Caenorhabditis elegans: one gene and its partner. The protein of the gene in region 2 interacts with the protein of the main gene of each other region in a pairwise test. Each region holds a gene or a part of one and is shown on either strand. Other genes may lie near its edges.

Evidence for each region. Proteins that work in one complex are often made in the same cells at the same time.
Region 1: the proteins of hlh-30 (region 2) and jip-1 interact in a two-hybrid assay, tested with the Caenorhabditis elegans proteins (one large-scale study listed by BioGRID).

What each region holds. Positions count from the first base shown.
Region 1 is NC_003280.10:1,323,638-1,331,144, forward strand, and holds the start of jip-1 (PID domain-containing protein), read left to right. Parts: upstream 1-3,357; 5' UTR 3,358-3,363; coding exon 3,364-3,459; intron 3,460-4,199; coding exon 4,200-4,412; intron 4,413-5,029; coding exon 5,030-5,190; intron 5,191-5,776; coding exon 5,777-5,934; intron 5,935-6,686; coding exon 6,687-6,851; intron 6,852-7,414; coding exon 7,415-7,507.
Region 2 is NC_003282.8:4,023,861-4,031,315, forward strand, and holds the start of hlh-30 (Helix-loop-helix protein 30), read right to left. Parts: upstream 4,268-7,455; 5' UTR 4,227-4,267; coding exon 4,047-4,226; intron 3,952-4,046; exon of another isoform or gene 3,868-3,951; intron 3,204-3,867; coding exon 3,018-3,203; intron 1-3,017.

The DNA.
Region 1 (7,507 bases), on a different chromosome or scaffold from region 2:
GGTCTGCTAGACTACAAACTAGAGTCTGTGTTTAGCAGACCCATGAGCTTTTGAAGAGTTTTGGTCTGCTAGGCTACAAACTACAAGTCGTATTTAGCAGACCCAAATTATTAGAGTTTCGTATGGGTCTGCTGGACTACAAACTACAATTATTTAACAGACCAATCTTAAATTAAAAATTGACTGAATTTAGGGATTTTTTTTTCAGTTTTTAGCTCTCAAGACACTGTTTACAGCAGAAGAGAAGTACAATTCATTTTATTTTTAAAAAAAATGCTCAAAAATGGTTTTTCCCTTAAATTGGTCTGCTAGACTACAAACTACACAAAAGAATTAGACCCAAGCTGACGTGAGTTTTGGCCGATTTTTGAAAGTTTTATCATGTTTTGAATGAATTGTGCTGCTGTGTAACAGATAATTTTTCAAATATTCAGTTTTTGTCAACATTTTGCGAAAATTAGAGCTTCGAAATGGGCCCCCCAAATTGGTCTGCTAGACTACAAACTACATTTTGTATTTAGCAGACCAAAATCTTGAAGACCCCGCGAAAAGTTGTATTTTTTCTCCAATTTCCCCTTCCTTTTCCTAATTGAATTCCGTGCAATTCAGTGCCCCCCACCCGAAGCTTCTTCTCTTGTCTGACCTAATTTGATCTACCGGGATATCGGAGTGTCGTAGTGCTGCCACGTCATTTTTTTCTGTGTCTCCTTAAATACATACTAATTTTCAATTCTAGAGAATAGGAAATTTATGTAGACTATTAATATTAATGTTTAAATAAATTTATGAGGAGGGTTTTGTGTTTTGGGTCTGCTAGGCTACAAACTACGAAAATTTGTTTAGCAGACCCATTTTTTTTCGATTTTTCGATTTTTTTTTTACTTAAAACTACACTTTGTCTCGTTTTTTAGCGATAATTAAAAAGTTCTGACTCAATTTTCAAATTTCCGGGGTACTGTAGCGCCACAAGTACGCAAACACCGAGCATCTTACGACAAAATGCACAGAAACTTAAAATTGTCTGAAAAAGATGGACCAGGGGGTAAAAAAAGGCCCTGAGTTTGAATTTCATAATGAAAAATTGCTAAAATTCATAGAATTCAAGTCATTTTTTAGTTTCTAGTTATCAATTTTAAAAAGTATACGTTTTTTCTAAAATTCCGCTGTAAACTACAAACTACATTTTGCCACGTCATCGTTTTATGCCCCATATCCACGTATTCATTAGAAATTCTGTAATTCCTGAATTCATTTTGGCATGCATTCTATCTATAAAAAAGAAGATCGAGAAGAAGAAGAAAATGAAAAAATTCGGCGTCTTCATGTGCTCCTTAATCTATTCCAACATTTTTTTTTTGGTCTGCCAGACTACAAACTACAGATTTAGAACTAGCAGACCTAAGCTTCTTGCTCAAATTTGAAAATTTCCGAAAAAAATTGCAATTGTTTTTCCAAATTTCCCGTTTTTCGAGAATTTGAACAATTTTTCCCGCGTTTTCTGCACAATTTTGACGTTTTTGGGTTACTGTAGCGCCAAAAGTACGCAAACACCGAGTCTCTCACGCGAAAATGCACAGAATCTCAAAATCATCGGAAAAAACAGTCCCAGGGGTGAAATGAGGCGCTGAACTTGAATTTGACAGTTAAAATTATCAAAAAATACCTGAAAACATTGAAAATTCAATTTTTTTAGTTTTTTCTTTCAAAATTTCTTTTTCGGAAGATATATTCGCCTGGAAATAAATTATAGGGCTATATATTAAATTTCTAACATTTTTCTTATGTTTCCTGCTCAAATTTGTCTTTTGGGGGGTACTGTAGCCCCAAAAGTCCGCAAACACCGCACACCTTACGCGAAAATGCACAGAATCTCAAAATCCTCTGAAAAAAGTGTTCTAGGGGTGAAATGAGGTGCTGAGATCGAATTTCAATGTGAAAAATTATGAAAATCGTTGGATTTTGAGAAATTTTTTTGGTTTTTCGAAAAAAACCTGCACCTCCCCACCCCCCCCCCCCCCCCTCTTTCAGGGGGTACCCCTTAATCTATTCCCACTCATTACTACATCTTTTTTTTGCTCTCATTTTCTCTGCGTCTCTCACTTTCACATACTATCTCGTCGGGAGATTAGTGTGAAGAAGACGCTACCCTCAGAGAGCAGGAAATGCGCGGAATTTATTGGAAAATGTGTGTGCTCTCTCGATGAGGGAAATGGAGTGAAGAAAGGGGGGGGAGGAAATTGAGATAACATGTCAAAACTCGTGATATGATATAGCCAATAACATTGGTGAAAATTATAAGCCAGAAAAAAACATCGCAAAAAAAAATTTTTTTTAGCAATTTTTCCCGAAAATCTTTATTTATTCAATTTTCATCAATTTTTCATGCTAAAATTCGAACTCAGCACCTAATTTTACCCCTAATCCATCCTTTTCCGACAACTTTCGGTTTCTGTGCATTCTGTCGTAAGGTCCGGTGTTTGCGTACTTTTGGGGTTACCGTACCCCCGAAAAGTTGAGTTTTTGGCAAAATGTTTTTTTCTCGAAAATCTTTATTTTATCAAGATTTTTCCTGATTTTCATGTTAAAATTCAAACTCAGCACCTTATTTTATCCATACCACACCTGTTTCCGACATTTTTGAGATTCTGTGTTACCGTACCCCGCAAGACTTAAAAATTGAGCTAGAGACTCGGAAACAAGACTTTGGCTGGAAAATTTGACAAAAAATTCGTAGGGAACTTCAATTTTGATTTAAAAAAGTTTTTTTGGAATTTCGGGAAAAAAAAATTTTAGAAAATTTTTTTTCCAAACTTATTTTCTTTATTTTTCATTTTTCACTTTCTCAATTTTTCATCTAAAAATTCAAATTCAGGTCTTGATTTTACCCCTACCACGTCTTTTCCGGCAATTTTGAGTTTCTGTGCATTTTGTCGCAAGGTCCGGTGTTCGCGTACTTTTGAACCTACAGTACCCCCGCAATACTCGAAAATTGATCTAGAAACTCGGTAAAAAAGGCTTCGGCTGTAAAATTTGACGAAAAAATTGTTGAGAAGTTAAATTTTGGAAAAAAAAATTATTTTTGGAATTTCGGTGAAAAAAAATTTTTTTTTGGAATTTTTCAAGAACAAAAGTTTTGAAAATTTTCTGAATATTTTTTCCATGATCCCCTTTTTTGAGTTGTTTTTCAACGCAATTTTCTCTGCACTCTCTTCACTCTCTCATCCACTCCATTCATCATTTTTTCCAGCGCGCATGTCTGGAACAGAGATTCACTTTTATTTTTCCTTTTTTCTTTTTTTTTTTTTGCTCCAAAACTTCTTTTCCACTACTTGAAATTTTAAGTCTTAAAAATTTCAGCACAAAATGAGCGCATTTGAATGTCGAAAATGCGATGATTTTCCGATTGAGGAGAACACGGAGGACGAGGATGATGACGAGTGTCCGACGGTTATTCGGAGGGTAGGTTTTTTCAGGAAAACCGTTGATTTTTAAAGGTTTTAACTATAAAAATCAAATTCAGCAGCGTTTTTTTGCTCCTAAACCGGTTTTTTTGCAAAAAGCAACAAAAAAATTAAAAATTTTTTTTTTTTCAAAACTCGAAATTTTTCTCGAAAACCAGCAACTTTTAAAAATTTTCATATCAAAATTCAAATTCAGCGCCACTTTCTACCCCATTCCCAGCTTTTTCAGCCAATTTTAATTTTCTGTGCATTTTGTCGTAAGGTATGGTGCATCGATTTGTGTTTGCGTACTTTTGAGGCTACAGTAATTCCAAAAAACTTAAAATTGAGCCAGAAGTTTAGAGAAAAACTTATTAAGGGTGAAAAATTACGGAGAATCCGAATTTCTTAATAAAAATTGTGAAAAATTTCAAATTTCTACAAATTTTCCAGTAAAAAATTTTCTCGGCAAAAAAACGCAACTCATTTTTGGAATTTTTCACACCGAATTTCATTTTCAACACAATTTTTTACCCCTCAAACACCATTTTAAGTCAATTTCAAAGCATTCTGCATTTTGTCGTAAGGTGCAGTGTTTGCGTACTTCTGGAGCTACAGTAACCCAAAAAATTTCAAAAATGAGCTAGAAGCTCGAAAAAAAAAAGTTTCCAGGGTAAAAAATGTCGGGAACTCGATTTTCATATCGAAAAACCAAAAAGAAGCCTCTAAAACCTCCAAATTTCCTGAATTTTTTTCCAGTCCTACTCAGCCGACTGGCTGCACAACGACAATTCCTCTGGAGGTGATGACGATTCAGAAGAGGATTCTGACGCCGAATTTCTGGTTCATCCGTGTCTTCGGAGTATTATTAAATCGAAATCCGCTTACGCAGTTCCCCGTAACTCTGATGACGTTGCAGCGGCGGCAGCGATGAAAAATAACAGAATTAAGCCGAGCAAAACAAGCTTTGAGGTGAGCTGGATGAGGAGGTGGTGGTGAAGATGTAGTTTGTAGTCTTTGTAGTTTTTGTAGTTTGTAGTTTATAGTTTGTAGTCCGTCAGACCAATGTTTTTTAGTTTAAAATTGATTGAGTCTGCCATTTGCAGGTTCATAGTTTTGTGTGGTTAGATCTGTTATTTCGAAGTTGGTAATTTATAGTTTGTAGTTTATGGTTTGTAGTTTATAATTCGTAGTTTGTAGTTTGTAGTTTGTAGTCTGTAGTGTATAGTCCATCAGGCCAAAATTTGCAAGTTTAAAATTGATTGAGTCTGTCATATGTAGGTTAATAGTTTTGTTTGGCTAGATCTGCTATTTTGAAGTCAGAGATTTATAGTTGTAGTTTGTAGTTTGTAGTTTGTAGTTTGTAGTTTGTAGTTTCTAGTTTGTAGTTTGTAGTTTATAGTTTGTAGTTTATAACTTGTAGTTTGTAGTTTGTAGTTTGTAGTTTATAGTTTGTAGTCCGTCAGACCAATATTTGCCAGTTTCAAAATGATTTGATCTGCCAAATTTAAATTTTTTGTATATATTTTACAATTTATAGTTTATAGTTTGTAGTTTGTAGTCTAGCAGACCAGAACACCATTTTTCAGATTTCCTTATCAAAAATGATGGAATCAACGAGTAAAAGCATAGCGGAAGAAGCAGAATACTCAGTAGCCGACCTACTTCCGACACTTGATGAAAAATGGCCGGACCCTGAGGAAGAAAATGAAAATTTGAAGTCAAAGCGGCGGAAATCCAATATTATGAGGTGAAAATTCGAATTCTCCATCGTTTTTCACATGTTACCCGTTTTTTCTGGGTCTCTATCGTTAATTTTGAGACTTTTGGGGTACGGTAGCCCCAAAAGTCCGCAAACACCGTGAGCGTGACGCAAAAATGCACAGAAAAACTCCGATTTTGCTGAAAAAGTAGAGATATGGGTAGAAAATCATGCTGATATTGAGTTTTGGCATGAAAATTGTTGAAAAATCATTTTTATATCGCAAAAAAGGAACATTTTCCCTGTTAATCCAAATTTTCCCCCTTTGAAACATAAAAATTCGAATTCCTCACCATTTTTCACTTCTAGAATACTTTTTTTTGGAGTCCTAGCGTAAAATTTGAAAATTTGAGGTTACTGTAGCTTGAAAAGTGCGCAAACACCCAGCATCTTACGACAAATTGCAGAAAATCTTAAAATCGGCTGAAAAGGCGGGTTTAGGGGTAAAAAATGACGCTGAGCGTGAATTTTGATATGAAAAATGTTGAAAATATCTAGATTTTGTGAAAATTTGGAAAATTTGGTTCAGTATTGGTCTGCCAAAGTCCAGCATACTCTAAACTCAAATTTCCAGGTACTCCCCGAGCCTATGTGACTCTGATCTATCACTGAACCTCCATGATAAGGATTCTGAAGATGATGAGGATCGTATTCTAAACCGCCCGTCCGGATGTTGGTCCTCGCCGCCCAACTTCTTCGATGAAACATTTCGCGGTGTTTCTCCAATGAATCGTTAGTTTGTTTACTGTAGTTTGTAGTCTAGGCTTTACTATAAACTACAAAAATTGGTTGTGAAAAAATGTTTTGAAATATCAAAAAAAAAAAAGAAAAAAAATCGAATTTTTTCCCAAAAATTTCAAACGAAATCAAATTTTGACGTTAAAATTCAGATTCCTCGCATTTTTTCACCCTAGACCCATTTTTCCTGGTGTTTCCTGCTAAATTTTGATCATTTTGGGGTACTGTAGCCCCAATAGTACGCAAGTACGCAAACACCGAGCCCCTCACGCGAAAATGCACAGTTTTCTGGAATTGCGTAAAAAAGTTGGGGTAGGGGTGAAAAATGGTGCTGGAAACGAATTTAATAGTGAAAATGTTTTAAAATCGGCAGAAAATATAAAAATTTGAAGAAAATTTTAAAAGTTGTTTTTCAAAAAAAATTTTATCCAATTGTTTTGCACAAAATCAAATTATTAAGTGAAAATTCAGATTCCTCGAATTTTTTCACTCTAGCACCATTTTCCCCCGTGTTCTCTGCTCAATTTTGACCATTTTGGGTTACTGTAGCTCGAAAAGTACGCAAACACCGAGCCCCTCACGAGAAAATGCACAGTTTTCTACAATTGCGTAAAAAAGTTGGGGTAAGAGTAAAAAATGGCGCTGAAAACGAATTTTATAGTGAAAATGCTCGAAAATCAGCGGAAAATCCAGAAATTTTGAATTTTTTGAAATAAAAAAGTTTGAAGTTAAAAAAAAATTTCCAGAAAAGTGTTGGTCAGCACCGGATCTCGAGGATATTGTGTTCAAGACATGCAATGTGTTGTATAATTATGACGTCATCGGCGGCGGGAAAATTCCAATTTTGAGGGAGCTAATCGACGAGGACTCCATTGCAATTGGGTATCCAGTTATAGAAACACCTGATAATGGTATGTAGTTTGTAGTTTGTAGTTTGTAGTCTGCTAGATTACAAACTACAAATAAAATTTGAGTTCATGGCACATGTCCCCTTAGTTTTCTGGAAAACTTATTTGGGAAATTTTGAAATTTTGAAAATTAAAATTTTTTCCAAAAATTTGAATTTGCAGCCGACCGCATGGTGCAACTGCGCTCCACGGATAATTTTGCAATTTTTCGAATTTTCTGAAGGATTTTAAAGCTGTTTCACTGACAAATTCAAATTTTCCGCCAACCAGATCAATAAATAAGCAGTTTTCTCATTAGAGCACACTTGCAGCACGCGGTCGGCGGGAAATTTGAGTTTTCGGGTAAAAAAACGTGGTTTTTGCGAATTTTTGCACTAAATAAAAAAGCGAAAAATTTAATTCAATAAATTTTGTCAAAAGTCCCAAAAAAAATTCAAAAATTTTTTTTTTTTTTTTTCCAAATTTCAATTTTTTTTTGAAAAAACCTTCCAAACGACACTCCGACATTCCGTTTTCTACAACTTTCCCAAAAAATCCCTAATTTCTGCACACCATCCTTATTTCAGACCCTTCAGTTTGCTCGTACCGTCTACCATCATCGCTCGGCTCCGCCCCCTCACCCAGTCCGCCCCGCCCACTTTCACCAGTATTCGGACAAC
Region 2 (7,455 bases):
TTCCAAAATGCCACCAGAGTGTTTGTCCATCGCTAAAAAACCTTTAAACCTTTAAAAGGCTGCAAAAAATCATTTTTGGAGCAATTTTAGGGAGCCTCAAAACTTCAAAAAAAACTTTTTTCAAAGTTTTCTTATATACAAATACGGCAAAATTTTTTATATCGGTCTAAAATCTTTTCCGAATTTCCAAAAAAAATCAAAATGTAGCCTCATAGCAAAATTTAAGAAGTACCATCCTTGTTTAATGTTTCAAAAAACCACCATTCTCTGACTAATCCCGTAGAGTCTAGCTGGCCAATTTCTGATCAGGACGATTTCAAATAAATTAGCTCCCCCCTCCCCCCCGCGTCGTCCCAAAAACCAAAACCGCCAATGATCACTTTCGCGGGTCTCTCGCTCAAAGAATGTCTGCAGTGCTCTCTCACTTTCGCGCACTGTCTGGCCGTCTGGCGCCGTGCCAATACGCGGCGAGATAGTGTGGGTCTGTGCGAGAGAGGGGTTTTTTGGCACCCGGCCAGGTAAACAAACATTTCGTTTTTTTTTCGACGCTTTTTTCGTTTCTCAAGGTTCGGTTCGTCTTGCGATCAGCTGACTGTGTGAGGATGATGATTCTTATCTTTCGTTCTTTTCTATTTTGTTACTTCGTCTTTTTTCTTTAATTGTTCAGAAGTACATTTTCTGCCGAATTGATAGGGAACGGAATGGAGAGAAATTTTTTCTTTAATGGGGTTATTCAAGTAATGTAGCAAAATGTATTTAAACTACTACAAACTGACTACAGAGTGATCCAAGTACTCCAGACAGCCGGACAATTTCCTGCCGCCGTCCAGACAGACTTTGAAATCTGATCTTTGCCACAAGGTCGTATCGCGTGTATTGAGTAATGGTCTTGTTTTTAGGGTGAAGCGACAACTGTCGAGTAGTGTAGAAAATCAAAATGACGTCATCTTACTGTTTTTCCAATTGTTGATGTTGTTTGAAGCGAGGAAGTTTTTTGGTTTTTGAGCGGTGATTGGTCGGCGAAAACAAAAAATTTGGCGGGAAAATGACTAAAATGCTATGGAGGAAGAAGAGACGCGGGAGAAAAAGGGAGAAAGGTTTTTGAACCAGGATAACAACAACAACAACAATAGAAGTTTTTAGGAAAGGGATAGGTGAGCAGGAGTAGTACAGTTGAACTTTTGGCTAATGAGCATTATGCTTACCAAGGGATCAGTCTCAGCAAGTAATGAAGCTCTGAATTGAACTAAATTGGGTCTCAATGCGAAAACGAATCCGGATTCAAACGTACAACACTAATAATTAGGACTTCACAATTTTAGAAAAATAGTTCAAATAAAGAGTGATAACGAAATTTGTACAAGTTTCGAATTCCTGGGAAACAAACTCTAATGGTCGAAAAAATTTCTAGAAAAAAGTTAAGTTCTCAACGTTCTTAAATACATTAGAATTCTATGAAAATCAGATTTTCCCTGAATTCTACAGGTTTCAAAATTAGGGGGAAAATGTACTGATTGTGAAAAAAAAAAGATCCCAGGTTCCGAGAAATTTCAATTTTTTTTTGTAAGATGTTTTTTTTTCCAAAAAGCTTCCAGAATATTTGCCTAGTTTTCCTCATGCTTTAAAACATTGAAAATCTCTCAAAATTTGGTTTTGGAGAAATTCTACGGGACTTGAAACTAGCGAAAATGCACTGACAAAATGGGGAGAAAAAGTCCTAAAAATTTCCAAAAAGCTTTGAGAATGCGTTATAAATCTGGGAAAATCCGATTATGAAAAATTCGACGGATTTCGAAATAATCGAAAAAAAAACTCTGCTTTTTTCAGAAAAAGTTTCAAAAAGCTTGGCCTAAACATTGAAAAATTAATAATCTCAGAAAATTTGGTTTTGGATAAATTCTACGAGCATCGAAGTTTGGCAAAAAAGTTTCAAACGAAATACCGGGAACTTGGAGTTAGCTTCGTGGGTTTTTGTAATGAGCTAGTCAAATGGTACAGACTCGTATCATAAAGTCAAATTTTATTTGATGCGCTGTTGATAGCTAGGGTCCTATTCGACCTTTTAGTCCACATACAGCCCCCTCCCTACCCAACCAATCAACTTGAAAGTTCAACTCAAACATCTCATTGTCTTCTCAGTCCTATCCACCACCACTACCACACGTCAGAGACCATCGGAGAGTGTAAAAACAACCGGACGCCGAGAGAAGCTAGCCGAACACCACGTGACACTGTCCAAGAGGCAGACAGAGACCCGGGGGGGGGGGGGGCTACGTGCCAAACGCAAGATTTTTTCAGCGCCCGTTTTTCGTTTTTCAGCTGTTCCGTCTAGGGTGGAGTCATCTGGGAGTGGGAGAGACCGCAGAATGTGGAAGGAAAAATATGGAATGGGCGCCGTGGCGCAAAAGTGCTTGAAAACAAATACATGGCTCAGGGGGGGGGGTCATATTGTTAAAGCCAATCAAGAACAATTTTTTTGTAAAAATTCAAACTTCTATAATTTGACCCTACGACGTTAGGCTAACAACAGATGCCAAAAAAGGGAGATCTACAAGAAAAATGAAAAGATATCAGTTTCAGGGGAGCAAGTTGGAAGAAATTTTTACGTAAAGTTTGAAGATCTATAATGTCGAGCAATTTAATTGTGTGCCTACGCCTTTAAGCGAAGAAGAGCAGGGTTTAAGCTTATTTTGAGCCAAGAAACCCCAACTCTTGAAAAAGGTACTTTTACACAGATTAAAAAAAAAGAACCACAAAACAATTTAGTTACCGGGGAGCCCTTTCAGGCCCACTTTTTTTCATAAGAAAAAAATTCCAAAAATTCTGCTTTTTTTCTTACTATTAATTGAGCTGGGTAAAAAAAACTTGTAAACTACCTTTAAACTTTCCATAAAATCGTTAAAAATTATGTTAGAATGCAGTATTTTGTTTCGTTTTTTGTTTTATTTCTGTAGAGACTTTGAGCTCAAACAATGTAAGAAAACAAAAATTTTCTTTTAATAAAATTTGAAACTAACCGGTTGAATATTGCCGAACAACATCTGATGCGTCTGCTGCATCTTCCTTGGACTACTTAATGCCGCTCCACTGCTCCCTCCGCCAAAGTAGCTCTGTGTAGGCGCTGAGCCGAACGGTGTCGACGTCGAGCCCATCGATCGTTGTGCGATTGGAATCAGATTTCCCGTCTCTCGACGTTGTTCCATCTCAAAATACAAAATAAGAAAAGAGATAGAAATCATTATGGAAAGATAACTACTAAATTTCGGTCGTTGATGCACCATGAGCGCTCTGCTTTGTTTACTACTACTATATTGGCGGCGGCGGCGGGCGGGAAGTTGGCAGTGTGCCAAAAACATTGTGTCTATATCTCTCTAATTTGGGAGATAGGGAAATCAAAGCCGATCAGAAAACTGAGCAGCCCTGTTACTTGATAAATTAGCTGCCCCTGTCGCCACCGCCTCGCCGGCCCCAAAGTGATGACAATTGGCGTCGAGAGATGAGAAAACTGAGTTTGAAATTCGATTTGTGATTTGAAATTGAAATCGGATCAAGCTTAGAAAATGGGCGAAGAGAGCAAAGTACAATTTTAAGCGAGGTTTGTAAATTTTTAATGCGAGTTTTGGCTCGCAATGAAAATGGTAATGCGATTGGTAAATTGATAAAGTAGGTCAAAACTGATATCAGCTCAAAGAACGTTGATAGGACTGAAACTAGAAGCCTGTGTCAAGCCCAAACGGACCGCCGAAACCACAAACTACAAAACAATCAAGTCTCATTCGCTCTCTTGTTTCTTTTCTCTTTTTGTGTATTGTCACCACACATGACCGGTCAATCAATCGTCAGATGGGGGTCTTATCTTGAGCGAATTTCAAGACAAAGTTCTGGTGAGTTAGGCTACTCAAGTGTCCCGGAAGGAAGTTGGGTGCCCGGAGCAGGAAACTAAAAGCGGGGGGAAAGAGAGCTGATAAGAAACGGGGCTATTTGAAGGGTGTAAAGACCAAATGTCGTTGGCCTAAACCTGAACCTAGAAAATTATTAGCCCTTACACTTTTGCCGGCGCCAAATCGAAACTGCGACGCGTTAGCCTGATATGGCTCGTCATCGTAGAACTGTTGCTGGGCTTGTTGTGGTTGCTGCTGCTGTTGAGCACCCGGTGGCTGCTGGGCTCTCGGATTGTTCAATCCGAGGCCGCCGCCACCGCCTGGTGAATTTAGTTGGCGGATCATGAATGCTCTTATTCGCTGATTTTTTTTTTCAGTATCGGGATCTGAGAATTAAAAAAAAATCAATCGATAAAAAGGTATATTGGTTGGTAGAAAAAAAGGAAAAAAATTCGAAAGGGGGAGAGGGAAAAGAGCGAAAGACAAGAGAAGAAACCGAGTGGAAGGGTCGGGAGAGAGGCGCCCAAAGGGGTCGCGGGAGACCGAGGTGATACGAGAGGACGAGGCGAGAGAGCGGCAGACACAATGTGACATATCAAGAGGTCGTCGCCAGCAACAGCAGCCCCTCCCCAAAGGATCGAGCGAGAGGCGCGAGAGATGGGGCACACGGGCGCACACGCGCCCGCCCCTATCTCTTTCTCTCACAGCCTCCACCACCGATCATTTCGTTTATTACTGTGTCCCCCACCTCCTGCCAAGTTCTTGTCGAGACAATGGCGATTAGGCTACTTAAGGGCAGTTGGGGGTGGCTAGCTGTCTGCGTAGCTGGAATCCTAGAATACTAAACTCCTAAACAAAATCATTGGCCCCATCCTAATTACAAGATAGTAACGGTCCATATAGTTAAGACATCAGAGATTAGGTCGAGAAAAATAAGAAGAACACAACAAACTGTATTCGGAGGAGGTGGCCAGAGATCTTTTTTTTTGAACAGTTTGATGGGCTTGATTTGATTAGAAGAAGATTAAAAGATGAGGGAGATCAAAATTCGGTTTTGAAAAATCTGAGAAATTCAAAAGATAAAGCTAGCTTAACAATTTAAGGCCTTTGTTCGGACAAGGATTTTTTTCTAGGTTCGGGCAATGGAGCAGTATGCAATCTAAGGTGATCTAAATAAAATCAAAAAGTGTTATTAGATGTCCTGAACAAAATATTCCAAAAATTCCTACCTTGAGGGCGAACAATTAGGAAGCTAAGCCTAAGAACCTAAGCCTTCTGGAGCTGCACCTAGGGACTTCTGACATTTGAAGCTTACTTAGGTCGTTCGAAACAGGGTTTTCAGGAAAATTAGAATTTTTTAAGCTTCCGAGGTTCAGAAACAAAAAAATGGCGAAAACGGATGGATCAAAAAAGACAACTTGAAGAAAATGTTATCGTTCTATGATCCGAGTAGAATTTTTACCCAGCGGCTTTGCTGGAAGTTTTAGGGGGTCTGGAAGTGGCACTCTATCAATTTCAAAAAGTGAGACCTCACAAAGTCTCTAAGTCAACAAAAACCTGGAAAAGTCGATTTTTTTTCAACCCAAACACAGGTTATCATCACAAAAACATGACAAAGAAATGATCCAAAGCAACAATGACGCCATCAAAAGTTTGTTTTAAATTCCAACCAACGCAAAGAAAATACGAAAATAAAACAAAACTATTCGACAAAACCCTCTCTTTTTAGGCGACGAAGGAGAATTCGGCCTCCCGCCGCCAACTGATAAGCGCGGCGCCTATTCTCTTTCATAATTAGTGTGTGATGATTATGATAGTGATATGTGTATGTACAATGAAGTTTTGGGAATTTGCAAGACGCAGAGAATTGTTACTCGGCAAACAGTAGGGGGGGGGGGGCTAACTGAGAAATAAAGGAGGAGTTGGGGCGCCGGATTGGTGGTATTGTGATATTTCCAGAGGTCGGGGCAAATATTGATGATTAAATTGAAAAAGGGTTTAAATTGACAACACTTTTTGCTCAATTTCTCGTAAGTTTGAATTTCAGATTTAGAGTCCGAAACTTAAGACCCTAGGCTTAGATCTATAGGCTTGGCTCCCTGGTCCCAAGGCTTGTAAGCTAAGGCCATGAAGTTTGCCTCTAGGCTTAGTTCTTAACATTTAGGTACCTCCCTAGTGGTGTTCCCAGAACGTCCCTAGTGGTGTTCCCGGTAAAGGGGTTTATTAGCTCCAAAAGTTAAAGTCCCAATGCTTAGGTTCAAAGGCTTACTATTAGCTTTAAAATTTTAGGCCCCCAGGGTCATATGTTTAGGTCCCGATCAGAAAGTTTAGACACCTAAGCTTAGACTCATAGGCTTACAAATTCATGTTCCAAAATCTAGCTCCCTGGGCCCCGTTTCCTAGGCCGTGGCCCTAATAGTAAGGTTTATAGGTTAAGCCCCAAAATTCTCTATATGTGTGGCCAAAAGTCCCTCACAGCAAAAAAAGGGTAAAACTCTATCCTTATCCCCTCCAAACGAAACAATAGAGGGCTTTTTCATTAATCTCATATTGTTTCGTATTTGCGACGTCACTCATCTAACCCGATTTCTCATCAAGACACATTTTTCGTTGTGCTCCGTGAGCCAAGCAGAGATTAATCTTTTCGTTTGGAAAGAGGACTGCACTGATAAACAAGTATTCAGATTTTATGCTGGATTAGAAAGATCATGGAACAAATTTCTTGAATTTTTCATCAAATTAAGTTCAAAAATTGATTATATTCAGCTCGGCCAACGCAAAAGAATTTCAGATAAAATTTTGGAAACAAAAAACTAGAGAAACATTGTGAAATCCCACGGAAAAGAAGGATAAGCTCTTCAAAAAGAGAGGAACTAAAATCATCATCGTCGTATTATTATTATTATATTTCACTAACCAAAGGAGACACCACAATTAGTGCGCTGAAGAAAAAGAAAGAAAACAAAAACACCTGGAGACTACAGACTACATTTCTATTGAGTTACAGGATGTAGGAATACGAAAAAAGGAAATTGTGAGGCACGGGGAGTCGAACCTGGAAGGTGTATGCGGAAGGCAAAAGTGATAACCAATATGGAAGTTTTTGGCAATGTTGGTTGGCAAGTAATGAGATTATTAAATATTAAAGGAACTTACACAGTAGAAAAATTAACTTCAGTGACTTATTTTATTTTATTAGCCCCTAAAGCGATTAAGAGGCAAATTCAAAAAATTTTCGCGCCCAAAACAGTTAGTCAACTGATAGATAAAATCTAAAAGTACACGAATTTTAGGGCGGCAGTCAAAGGCAGGAAATCGAAATAAAAACCGAAAACCGAAGAAAACTATAAGAAAAATGAAGAGGAAACGGTGAATGGCGGGGGACGAAAGAAGAAGAAGAATAAGAAGAAGACGTACAGAAAAGATAACACATTCGGCGATTCAAGGACACGCGCGGCGCGTACTGAAAACCGATGATGGATCGATGTCGGGTCTCTGGCGAAGATAGTGGATATCATTGAATTCTTTGGAGAGTCATGGGTTGGCGGGAATTTGAATTTTTACAACTTTATAT